Linked DNA regions of Canis lupus familiaris. The protein of the gene in region 1 interacts with the protein of each later gene in a pairwise test. Links are inferred from orthologs where the notes say so. Each region holds a gene or a part of one and is shown on either strand. Other genes may lie near its edges.

Region 1 (5,504 bases):
CCCGGGGGTGTGCTGGGACGACGCAGCCAAGACCATGTTCCGGATCCCCTGGAAGCATGCGGGCAAACAGGACTTCCGTGAGGACCAGGATGCCGCCTTCTTCAAGGTGACAGCGCGGAAACTGGAGCCTCCAAAGGAGGGGTGGGGTATACACTGAAGCTCTCACCCCCAAGGACTTGTGTCTGCCTGGGTTTCAGATAAAGGGGAGATGGGAGGGTAGAACCAGCTGCGTGATCATCACATCCCGTGCATGGCGAAAATGCCAACATTGTGAAGGATTTCAAGAGGGCAGTAGCGGAGCATAAACCTGAGCGCTGGCCCTTCTGTGCAGATGCTCGGGTGGCCCGTCTGCCTGGTGATGCTGGTGCAAGTAGGGGGTCAGCCGGGGTGTGTAACATGCTGTCTCTGCTTGACTTCCTGTGTTTTGAAGGCGTGGGCCATATTTAAGGGGAAGTATAAGGAAGGGGACATGGAAGGCCCGGCTATCTGGAAGACTCGGCTGCGCTGTGCACTCAACAAGAGTCCTGAATTTGAGGAGGTGCCTGAGAACGGCCATAGGGACGGAGCTGAGCCCTACAAGGTGTATCGGCTGCTGCCCTCCGGGACTCTCCCCGGTGGGTGTCCCCTTGCCCCACCCCTCCTAGCAGCAGCAGACCTGCCTCTCTGCAGCCCCTCGCTGGGACCTCTGCCCCATCACTGTCCTTGGCGAGCTCTGCTAGCTTCTCCTTCCTGGGCCTGCCCATCCTTCCACGGCCTCCTGTCCTACCCTCTGTACCCACTTAAGGCTCTGCCATTTCTCCCCTTCCACAATATTCCACAGCCCAGCCTGGGACCCAGAAATCACCATCAAAGCGACATCACAGCTCTGTGTCCTCCGAAAGGGAGGAGGACGAGAGGACCGTGAAGAATGGTGCTCCCAGTCCCTCCTTGCTTGTGGACCCCTTCAGAAATGTAAGAGCAAGGGTAGGAAGGGGGGGGTGGCGCCTGAGGGCAGGGACCGTAACTAGGGGAGAGGTGGGCCAACCATAGATCCTGTGTCTGCAGGAGGAGGTGGGGGCCAATGGGGGAACGAGCCGTTCAAACTTTGGGAGTAGCAGCAACAGCAGCCCTGAGCCCCAGGAAGGTACCACGTCCCCCGCCTCTGTTCGTCCCCCCACACTGCACCCTCTGGCCCTTGGAGTCCCCAGTCCTACTCTGAGCAATGCACACCGCTGCTTCCCTTCTAGGCACAGGTACCGCTGAAGCCCCTTTCCAAGGAGATCAGGTGTCACTGGAGCTTCTGCCCCCTCCGGGCTCAGGTACGTGGCGTTTCTGACTCATTCCTGCGCCCTGTCCCCCCCGCCTGTCTCCCTGCGGACATGCATGCATCATTGTGTCTGGCAGGGCTCATAGCAGCCCGGGCCCACCTTGCCCAGACAGAGGCACTGGTTTCTAGGCAGGATACCTGGCCAGACTCCAAACACAGCTCAATTCTCAAAAATACCCTCTCTACACTCTGTTCCCAGGAAATCCACTTTGAGACATTAATTCTGGGGGTCAAGCAGAGACCCAGGCTCTGGGACCTAAACTGTAAGGCCCTGGGTGATAGGAAAGTCTGGCAGGAGGTCCCTAGGCTGGTGAGGGTGGCGATGGGGCAGATGAGGAGGTGGCCCCTGGCCTCAGAAGATGAAGCTGCTACCCCTGTCCTCCCTTGGCTTCTCTCGCTGGACCTCACGTTTCTCATCAGCAAAATGAGGGTGTGGGGTTCTCGAGGAGCCCCTCCATCCCCCAGGCCCTGGGGCTGACCAGGCGGACCCCTCAGGTGAAGCACAGGGGCAGCTGGTGGTTCTCTGTCCACAGACTACTCGCTGCTGCTCACCTTCATCTACAGTGGGCGCATGGTGGGCAAAGCCCAGGTGCAGAGCCTGGACTGCCGCCTTGTGGCCGAGCCCTCCGGCTCCCAGTGCGGGATGGAGCAGGTCGTCTTTCCCAAGCCTGACCCTCCAGAGCCCACCCAGCGCCTGCTGAGCCAGATCGAGAGGGGTGTCCTGGTAGCCAGCAACTCCCGGGGCCTCTTCGTGCAGCGCCTCTGCCCCATCCCCGTCTCCTGGAATGCACCCCAGGCCCCACCTGGCCCAGGCCCACATCTGCTGCCCAGCAATGAGTGTGTGGAGCTCTTCAGAACCACCCACTTCTGCAGAGGTGAGGCTGTTCCAGCTGAGCTGAGCCCCTGGCTCCTTGTAGCCCCGCCCTGGGACCTGATAGGCTCTGCCACCACCCTGTGTTTCTGCCAGTAGATCCCTCATCACAGCTGATGTGTGGCACCCTGCCCTTGCACCGTGCACATCCTGTGGGGCCCTGTGCTCCGCCCTGGCAGCTGTCTGGCAGCCACCCTTCCCTAGTCCAGGCCTCGGAAGATGAGGCTCAGGTGGAGCTCAGCACACATGTCACGTCTCGGGGACTGCCCCCGCCTGGCAGCATGCAGTGATGGGAGGTGTGCCTGCTGGGCCTCTCCCGCACAGGCTCCCACACACACCCTCCCCCTATTCACCGGCCCTGCCACACTCCGGGCAGCTCCTCTGGTCATTCTTCTCCCATCCACTTCTGGAATTCTACTCCTGCCTCCCTTCACCTGTAAATCTGGCCAGGAGTGTAGGGGACACAGAACGGGAGAGTTCCAGGGCCGTGGGTGCCCTTGGGGGGGGGGGGGGCGGTGAGCCAGCAACAGAGTGGGGTACCTCTGTGTCAAGCAGACCCGGCTGCCAGGAGGACTCTTAAGTTCTCCAGCAGAGAGCTTGCAGATCGTATAAAAATCAGTTACCTCAAAGTATTATTCGAGGAAGGGGCGCCCTTTGCTGTTTGCACATGGGAGTAGCAGCTTAGTTGCCACCGTTCCTCCTGGCATAAGGCAGCCGCCTCACAACCCTGCGGCTCCAGTTCTGGCCCCACAGCCATCCGTCTTTGTCCATGGTGGGCCCCTCTCGGTCCCCTCCCTGCCTGTGGCCCCTGTCTTCTCTTTCTTCTAGCCCTTAACCCTTTTTCCTTCATCAGACCTGGTCAGGTACTTCCAGGGCCTGGGTCCCCCACCTGAGTTCCAGGTGACACTGAATTTCTGGGAGGAGAGCCCCGGCCCCAGCCGTACCCCAAAGAGCCTCATCACGGTGCAGGTGAGTTCAGGGCAGGGGAAGAGTAGGCTAGCCTGCCCCTGGAGGGCGTGTGTTGGGGTGGTTCCAGCAGGAGACGGGGCCTGGGGGGAAGACCTCCTAGGGTAGTGTCTGCTCTTGGCTGTGCTCCTGACAAGCTCTCCCCCACCTTCTCTGGCACAGATGGAGCAGGCCTTTGCCCGACATTTACTGGAAGAGACTCCAGAGGAGCAGTCAGCTGCCGTGTCCCTGCTGCAGAGCCTGGGAGACCCTGCTTCCTCCTCTCCTCTCTCTTCCTCCTATCTGCTTTGAAAGAGACTCATTCTCCACGCTGTTGGCCTGCCTCCCTCGGTGACAGTTCTCCGTGGTTGTCTCTGACAGCTGCGTCCTTCAACTGCTCATGTACCCGGCTGGTGGAGAACTCAAGGATGATCTTTATACCCCCTGTTTTTTGTTTTTGTTTGTTTGTTTTTGTTTTTTTGAGATACACCTTTCATTTCTGAGGAACTGACCTGGGAAAGTCCAAATGGTATGAACTCAGGGGACCTTTCCCTCTTCCCCCAGTCCTAAAGCCAAGCACTTTACATTTTCTTCTTAGATGTTCACTAGGGATTTAAAATAAAATTTTTTGAAAGAGGAGTCAGTATCTGCTTTGTTGGGATGAAAAGGTAGCAGGGGTCACAGGGAAGTGAAAGAGATGTAAGGTGAGAGTGAGTACTTGGGTTCTCTTCCTGCTGACCTCTCTGGGCCCTTTTCATCTCCTCCACCGGCAGGTTCTGGCTAGGACGCTGTCTGGGCTCTGTGGGTTCTGGGCCTGGGGAGAGGGGAGAGGTTAGCCACCCGGAAGAGCACAGCCTACAGCTGCTGTAGCCACCAACCTCACGCGGAAAAATCTGGGCTCTTCTCTTCTTGGCTAAGGCCTCCGATTCGGGCCTTACAACAGGCTTAGGGTTGGACTCTGGGCAGGAGTTCTAAATGAACAGGTGAACTTGGAAGTTGCCCTCAAATTCTGGGCTACAAGCACTGGGGCCTGGAATGGGCGGCAGAATCAGAGGGAAGAGCTGCTGAGCCTCCTGTGCTGAGGGAGACCAGGCCCTGGCACCTCTTCTCCCAACACATGGGGTGCTATCCTCTCAATGGAAGGGACTCCCAAACTGTTTTCCTTGCTCTACCTAAGCCCCATAGAAGACCATCTGGCCTAGGCTGCAACGTCACCCACACTTGCTCACTGAGATTTGAGGGCTCCAGGTCAGCTGGCCCCTCTGAGCCCTTACCCCCTGGGTTTGCCACCAAACTAAAAGTTCTTCCTTTTTAAGGCCACTCGTCATCTTAATCTCTCCACTCACGTCCAGACCTAAGTCACCACTTAGCTGATGTTGCAGCCTCTAGCTCCCCTCTTCCTGTAGGGGACCCCAGATTGGAGGAAGAGAGGCTCCCAGACCAGACTCCTTCCTGTCAGGCTGCTCTTGGAAGCCTTGCCTGGTTCACCTACGTGATCAAAACCTAGACGCCTAGACCCTCAAGGATCTTCCTACTGGCATGTTTGACAAACTTCAGTGCTGCCCTTGAGCTTCCTGCCTGCCTCCTTGGATCTTCCTCCGATTCAGTCTTGCCCATCGTCCTCCTGAGAAGCCAAGAGCCCAAACAGGCCTCTGCATTACCAGGGAAGAACGCAGGTACTGAGTGCTCAGGTACTCGAACTCCAGAGTCCCTCTGCTTGCTAGAATCCCTCCTGTGCCCTTGCTGCCTCCTCAACTTCATCTTCTTTCTTTTATTTTTAATTTTAATCCCAGTATAATTAACATACAGTGTCAAATTAGTTTCACGTGTATAATTACTTATCCATTTCTTTATCGATGGACACCTGGGCTGCTTCCATAGTTTGACTCTTGTAGATACTGCTGCTATAAACATAGGGGTGCCTATATCCTTTTGAACTGGTGCTTTCATATTCTTTGGGTAAATGCCCTGTAGTGGTCACTGGATCATATAGTAGTTCTATTTTTAATTTCTTAAGCACCCTCCATACTGTTGTCCACAGTGGCTGCACAGGTTTGCATCCCCAACAGAAGTGCACAGAGTTCCTTTTTTTTTCCACATCCTCACCAACACATGTTGTTTCTTGTGTTTTTTTTTTTCTTGTGTTTTTGTTTTTGTTTTTGTTTTTGTTTTTTTAATTTTTATTTATTTATGATAGTCACAGAGAGAGAGAGAGAGAGAGAGGCAGAGACACAGGCAGAGGGAGAAGCAGGCTCCATGCACCAGGAGCCCGATGTGGGATTCGATCCCGGATCTCCAGGATCGCGCCCTGGGCCAAAGGCAGGCGCCAAACCGCTGCGCCACCCAGGGATCCCTTTTTCTTGTGTTTTTGATTTTAGCTAT
Region 2 (5,323 bases), on another chromosome or scaffold:
ACAGGATTCCCTTAGTGCAATTGTCTCTTAGTGCAGAGCCAGCCCTGGGGTTGGTGCTGTGCTTCTCTGAGGTCACTGGTCTGTTCCCTTGGGCCACCTCAGCAACAGCGAGACCCTTTCAAGGCAGTCGGGCTGAGGGGGAAAGCTGGAGGCTGACTCCTCTCTGAGAGTTCCATCTGACACATCAATCTCATAATCCCATCTTCCCAGGAGGCAGGGCCAGCTTTACCCCACAAGATGAGCCCAGACCCTGGCCTAACAGAACCTAAAGGGTCACTGTCCTAAGGAGGGAGGTTCCATCCCTGCTCAGCAATGGAGTCATTCTCTGCCATGTCAAGGAGCCCACAGGAATCCTGTTTCTTTGCATCATGGCAACCATGATGCCAGGTCCTGCTCAACACCTAGGGGAGTCAAAGGGGCCAGGGCCCAGCTATGGTGCACAAGGAATGGCCTGGATGGAGGGCAGTCTGACTGGAGTCAACAGGCTGTCCAGCCAGCTGGTGTCCATGTTCTTCAGATCTGAAGAGATCAGCCCAACATACCCTAGAAGATGTGAAGAAGGTTGTATGAGGATGGAGGGTAAAGACAGGTGTGTTCCCCTCCTGCCCCTCAGCCCTATCCCTGTAGGCCACAGACACAGCCGCCTCTACTGTCCCCACATGGCAGTAAGCACCCTGCCTCCATCTTCAGGCAGACCTGAGTACGTGGGAGCAGCAGCCAGTTTGTAAGCTGTCTGTACCAAGAAGAGTTGAAGAAAGATGCTTTGCCTCTCCTGCTCCCTAGCCCAGTCCCCCAGCCCTTTCCTACCCACCCCCTGCCAGTTTCTCGCTTCTCGGAGAAACCTTCCAGCTACAGGGACTTCTTACCCCCAGGGCTGTCAACTTCTGGTTCGTCCTTGCAGCTGAAGTCTCCATAGAGAGAGGGGGGCTGAGTCCCAGGTTCATTTAGCAGGTACCCCTTGCCATCCACGTTTGTCGGCTGCCACCCCGTCTGCTCCAAGAGCTGGTGACAGAGGAATAAGGAACCATCAGGTTACTTCCAGGGCAGATTCATCCTCTGGTCTTGCCCTCAGTGAGCCAAACCTTCCCTACCAGCATCGTACCCTTGGTCATTTGCATGTTCTCAGATGGATGCAAATGTGGACTGTGGTTAGGACAGGGGCCTGCGAATTGTGGATCTGCCCTGGACTCATGCTCCTACATCTCCCCTCTGGCACAGAATCTCCTAAGACTTTCCCCCTCAGCTGAGTGAGGACATACCAACCAGGAATGTGGCATAAAGTAACAGCATCACAAGTCAAGAAAAGAAAAGAAAAGCTAGAGATAGGGAGCTATGCCTACGTCTCAAGTTTTCTATGCTGATGAAACACAGCCTGGGTACAACTACTGCAACAACTGTTTTATATTCGCTTTTAAGATTGAAGCAGGACAAAAAAAAAAAAAAAAAAAAAAAAAAACAACACACCCCTGGAGAATAATTTGCTTTAAGGAAAAAAAGAAAAGAAACAAAGAAAAGGAAAAAATCCCTCATCAGATCCCAGATCCCAAAAGCTGATTATTAAAACCTGATGTGCACTTCCCTAACTAACAGGGCAGCAGGCCTGGGGCCTGTTGGGGCAGAGGACGCAGGCCAGGGACCAGGCACTGGTGCTGGCTGACTCAGAGTGGTTCCAGGCCCTAGGGCTGCCTCCAGGACAGCCTGTCAGAAACCAGGCCTCCCCACTGTCCTCACTTCCCCAGTGTCTTTCCCACCAGCCAAGGAGGGCACAGTGGATGTGGCACTTATAGGATGATACAAGCAGCCAGGTCACAGTAGCAGCTGCCTCCACCCTCCAATGTGTTGAGCTCTAAGTAGTTTTCTCTCTCCTAAGAAGCAGCCACTTCACAAGAGCGCTCAGGGAGGAATGCGCTTTACCTTCATGATGTCCTCAGTTAATTTCCCTTCTTCGTCCTCATCTGTTGTGGCTGTGGATGGGGAAGAGCAGAGAGGTTAGAGGTTGGCTGGTAGTCAACCAGGCTTGCCCCTGCAGTTCCACCATAGTGCCTGCCCTACCACGCACGTGCGTGTGCGCACACACACACACACACACACACACATACCTCCCAGCAGACATGTACCTGCTATGGACATTCCAGAACAGGACACTGTCCTTGTGACTCAGCCTCCCGCACCCTGAAGCCACACCTCTTCCCACCCCCTTGCTTCCTTCCTCACCCACAGAGACTGGGCTGCAGAGGAGCCAGGGAACTGAGCAACCTCAGACCCAAATACAGCCCCTGGGCCCCCTTCCCTCTTTTCTCCAGCACAGCACAGTCATCTCGGTCAGTGCCAGGTAGAGTTCTGAGCATCTTCTCTCCCTCAGGAAACCCTCCCCAGGACCCAAACAGGCAGGCATGTGGGCCGCAAGGGCACAAACCTTCAGAAGTGGAGGGCATAGGTGACACCTGGAAGCTGTAGAGGTCACTGGTGCTGTCCGGCACTATCTCTGGGATGTGCCAGTCAGGGAGAGTACTGGTAACGGCACACGGTGACAATGCTGAGGGACAGCAGAAACCACAGGTCAGAACTGGCTGCTTTCTGAGTTTGCAAGACATGCAGCATCCCTGACCCCGCGGCCTGCTCCAACCTGCCACCCCCTCCTCAAGCACGCTGCCTCCTGGACCCAAAAGAAGGAGCCATCCCATTGTGACCTTGTGTGGCCTCCTGCCAGACCTGGCCTACCTCACCTGGAGTAAGGTCCCGCTCAACCTCCAAATCCTGCCCCATGTAGCCGTGAGCTGTGTAGCTGCTGTGGTCATCGGGCAGGGTGGAGGTGCTGAGTCCATCAGAGAAGGTGTCAGGACTGGAGTCACCACATGACTGCAACAAGAGAAAGGAGCTTAGGCCCAGGCTTGCCGTGGCACTTCTCCCACTGCCCACCCTGACTCCCGGGGGACCAAAGACTAGTAGCTCAGGGCCACACTCACCTTCCTCTTGGCCTTGCTCTTAGCATCTCGGCTGGACTTGGACTTTCTCTCTACAAAGCAGATGGGCCATCAGTCTTGGTACAGGTACACCAGCCCCCGCTGCCCTTCTTCTTCCCTCCCTTTGAGCTTCCCAAGGATCCAGAGCCCTTGGATACCTTTTCTCTGGTTCTTGGTGAGGGGTGGGAGCATCCGGTACACCCGCACAGCTGAGCTGCCTTTGTTCCTGCTCTGGTCCTTCACTTCCTCAATATCTGGCAGGGAGTTCATGGCACAGCGAAAGTTGGCCTTCCATGTCTTAGGATCTGGCTCCTTTTCCCCGGCTTTGTATCGACCTAGTCGGCAGAAGAGTGAAGAGGACTATAAGGACCAGAGGTGGGAATCCTTAGCTGCTGTCTGGCCTGGGAGGAGGAAGGCAAGAGTACCCCTAAGCTCTCATGCTGCCAGAGATCCACACTAGCCAAACAGACGGTATTCCTGGGTGACCCTCTACAAGCCCTGGGGCTTCTCAAATGCCCATGCTTGACTCAGACACATCCAGCAGACCTTTCTGAAGGGCCCAGCCAGAAGCACTAGAGGGCCTGTATGTCTTCACGGGCTGTACTGGTGCTGGACCAGAACCAGTCTCCCTGCTTGGGCTGTTAGCAGCCAGAGATTAAATAAAGACTAGGGTTTATCTGATGTTTCCAAACACAGCAGTGGACAAAGAGGAGGCATCAAAGAACAGTTACTGATAGGTGTGCTGTCTGATCTGAGATGGACCAAGAGCTCCAGACCTCAAGGATAAAAAGAGGCTGCCAACCAGATGGGCCTTGGGCCAGGACCTTGGTAAACATCAAGAAAATCAAAGACTTGGGTCTTTCAGTATCCAGGCTCACAACTGCTTTTGCCCCAAGGAGCTTTAATCCAGCTACAAACTCCCTGAAATCACACTTTCTAAGACGCTGATTTCACAGGTTCCTTTAAGAACTTGCTGAAGACGCTGATTTCACAGGTTCCTTTAAGAACTTGCTGAAATGATGGAACTTTTCCCCAGAAATACAAATCTGCCCCCTGCTCACCCCCAAATTTTGTACACAATCTCAAGGAACCCGATGAAGAGCCTCTGTGTTAATAGAAGTGATTCCTCTAGTCTTCTCCTTGGCCCTCCAGGGCTGGAGACCAGGGCACACACCTGTGTGAATAGCCCAGCTCCGGAACAGACAGGCATCCTTGTTGATGTCCCAGCCATGCTTGGCAGCATGCTTCCATGGAATCTGGAAAATCATCTCCTCCTGAATGGCACACACACACATATATACAAGGCTGTGTCAGCTCAGAAGCCACAGGGTTTTAGCAGGAGCCTGCCCAGCCCCGCCGCGCCCCCCCCCCCCCCCCCCAGTCTGAGAAAAAGCTGACTTCCCCTTTTCACCCTGACATCTGGCTTGAGTTGACCCATCCTGAGAATGGCTTAAACAGACTACTCTATCATTCTAGATCTCTCAGAAGGGGCTCTGGGTTCTGAAGAGCTATGGCAGTATCAGCTCACCAAAGCTCTCCCTCTGCCTGTTACAGGTGTGCTGGGACCCATAAGGAGCACCTTGGGATGCTCTCTGGCTTTTCAGCACCAACGCAGAAGTGAAAACTCCATCCATTAAATGGGGATGCTTAGGACAATTGGGACCACTGGCTCCTACACAGGGAGGGAGCCCTGGGCCAGTCTTGGATGCTGACTACCTGTGTGACACTGGCACTGTCCCTATACCTCCTGGTCCCTCATTGGTTTCTCTTCTGTGAAATGAGAAATCACAGTGACAAATATAAAGACTAAGTCTCACTGTTATCATTACTGGTGGTTAACACTTTGGATTTCTGAGTTTGATTGCTCAGGTTCAAATCTTGACTTGATCACTTTTTGTGTCATCTCATTATCTACTTCTCAGTGCCTCAGTTTTCCTTATCTGAAAATGGAGCTATTAACAGGATCTACTTCACAGGGCTACTGTGAGGATTAAATGACACAACGTAAGTAACAGACGTAGCACAGTAATCACACTTGCTCATAGGGAGTGGACAGTAAGCATTATTATGAATATTGTTATTACTACTATGTCTGCAGGGTTTGTGCACCAGCATGAGGTTTCTTGAGCCTGGGCCAGCAGTGCAAGGTTAATTCTCAGGTCCCTTGCTCCTCCAGCCATCTTCTCACCACTAGGTGCTCATTTCTCTGCCTCCTGGCTGTTTGGAACCCTGTAGGATGCTGTATGTTTGCAGGAGTCTCTCGTAAAAGAGACCAGAACTCTGGCTCTGCAGATGCGGGGAGAGTCTTGCTGATGCAAACTGTCAGTGCCCTCAGGTGAGTGCCCTGTCCATATCAAGGA

Evidence for each region. The genes of interacting proteins can lie anywhere in the genome.
Region 2: the proteins of IRF9 (region 1) and IRF1 interact in a two-hybrid assay, tested with the Homo sapiens proteins (2 studies listed by BioGRID and IntAct). The link is inferred for Canis lupus familiaris from reciprocal best matches to the Homo sapiens genes IRF9 and IRF1.

Annotation. Positions count from the first base shown.
Region 1 is NC_049229.1:4,278,543-4,284,046, forward strand, and holds the end of IRF9 (interferon regulatory factor 9), read left to right. Parts: coding exon 1-106; intron 107-430; coding exon 431-614; intron 615-820; coding exon 821-951; intron 952-1,044; coding exon 1,045-1,123; intron 1,124-1,226; coding exon 1,227-1,298; intron 1,299-1,839; coding exon 1,840-2,181; intron 2,182-3,030; coding exon 3,031-3,146; intron 3,147-3,305; coding exon 3,306-3,434; 3' UTR 3,435-3,761; downstream 3,762-5,504.
Region 2 is NC_049232.1:20,768,684-20,774,006, forward strand, and holds part of IRF1 (interferon regulatory factor 1), read right to left. Parts: intron 4,238-5,323; coding exon 4,138-4,237; intron 3,299-4,137; coding exon 3,122-3,298; intron 3,017-3,121; coding exon 2,967-3,016; intron 2,860-2,966; coding exon 2,727-2,859; intron 2,537-2,726; coding exon 2,417-2,536; intron 1,965-2,416; coding exon 1,915-1,964; intron 1,003-1,914; coding exon 867-1,002; intron 544-866; coding exon 431-543; 3' UTR 1-430. UniProt on the Homo sapiens protein: Transcriptional regulator which displays a remarkable functional diversity in the regulation of cellular responses.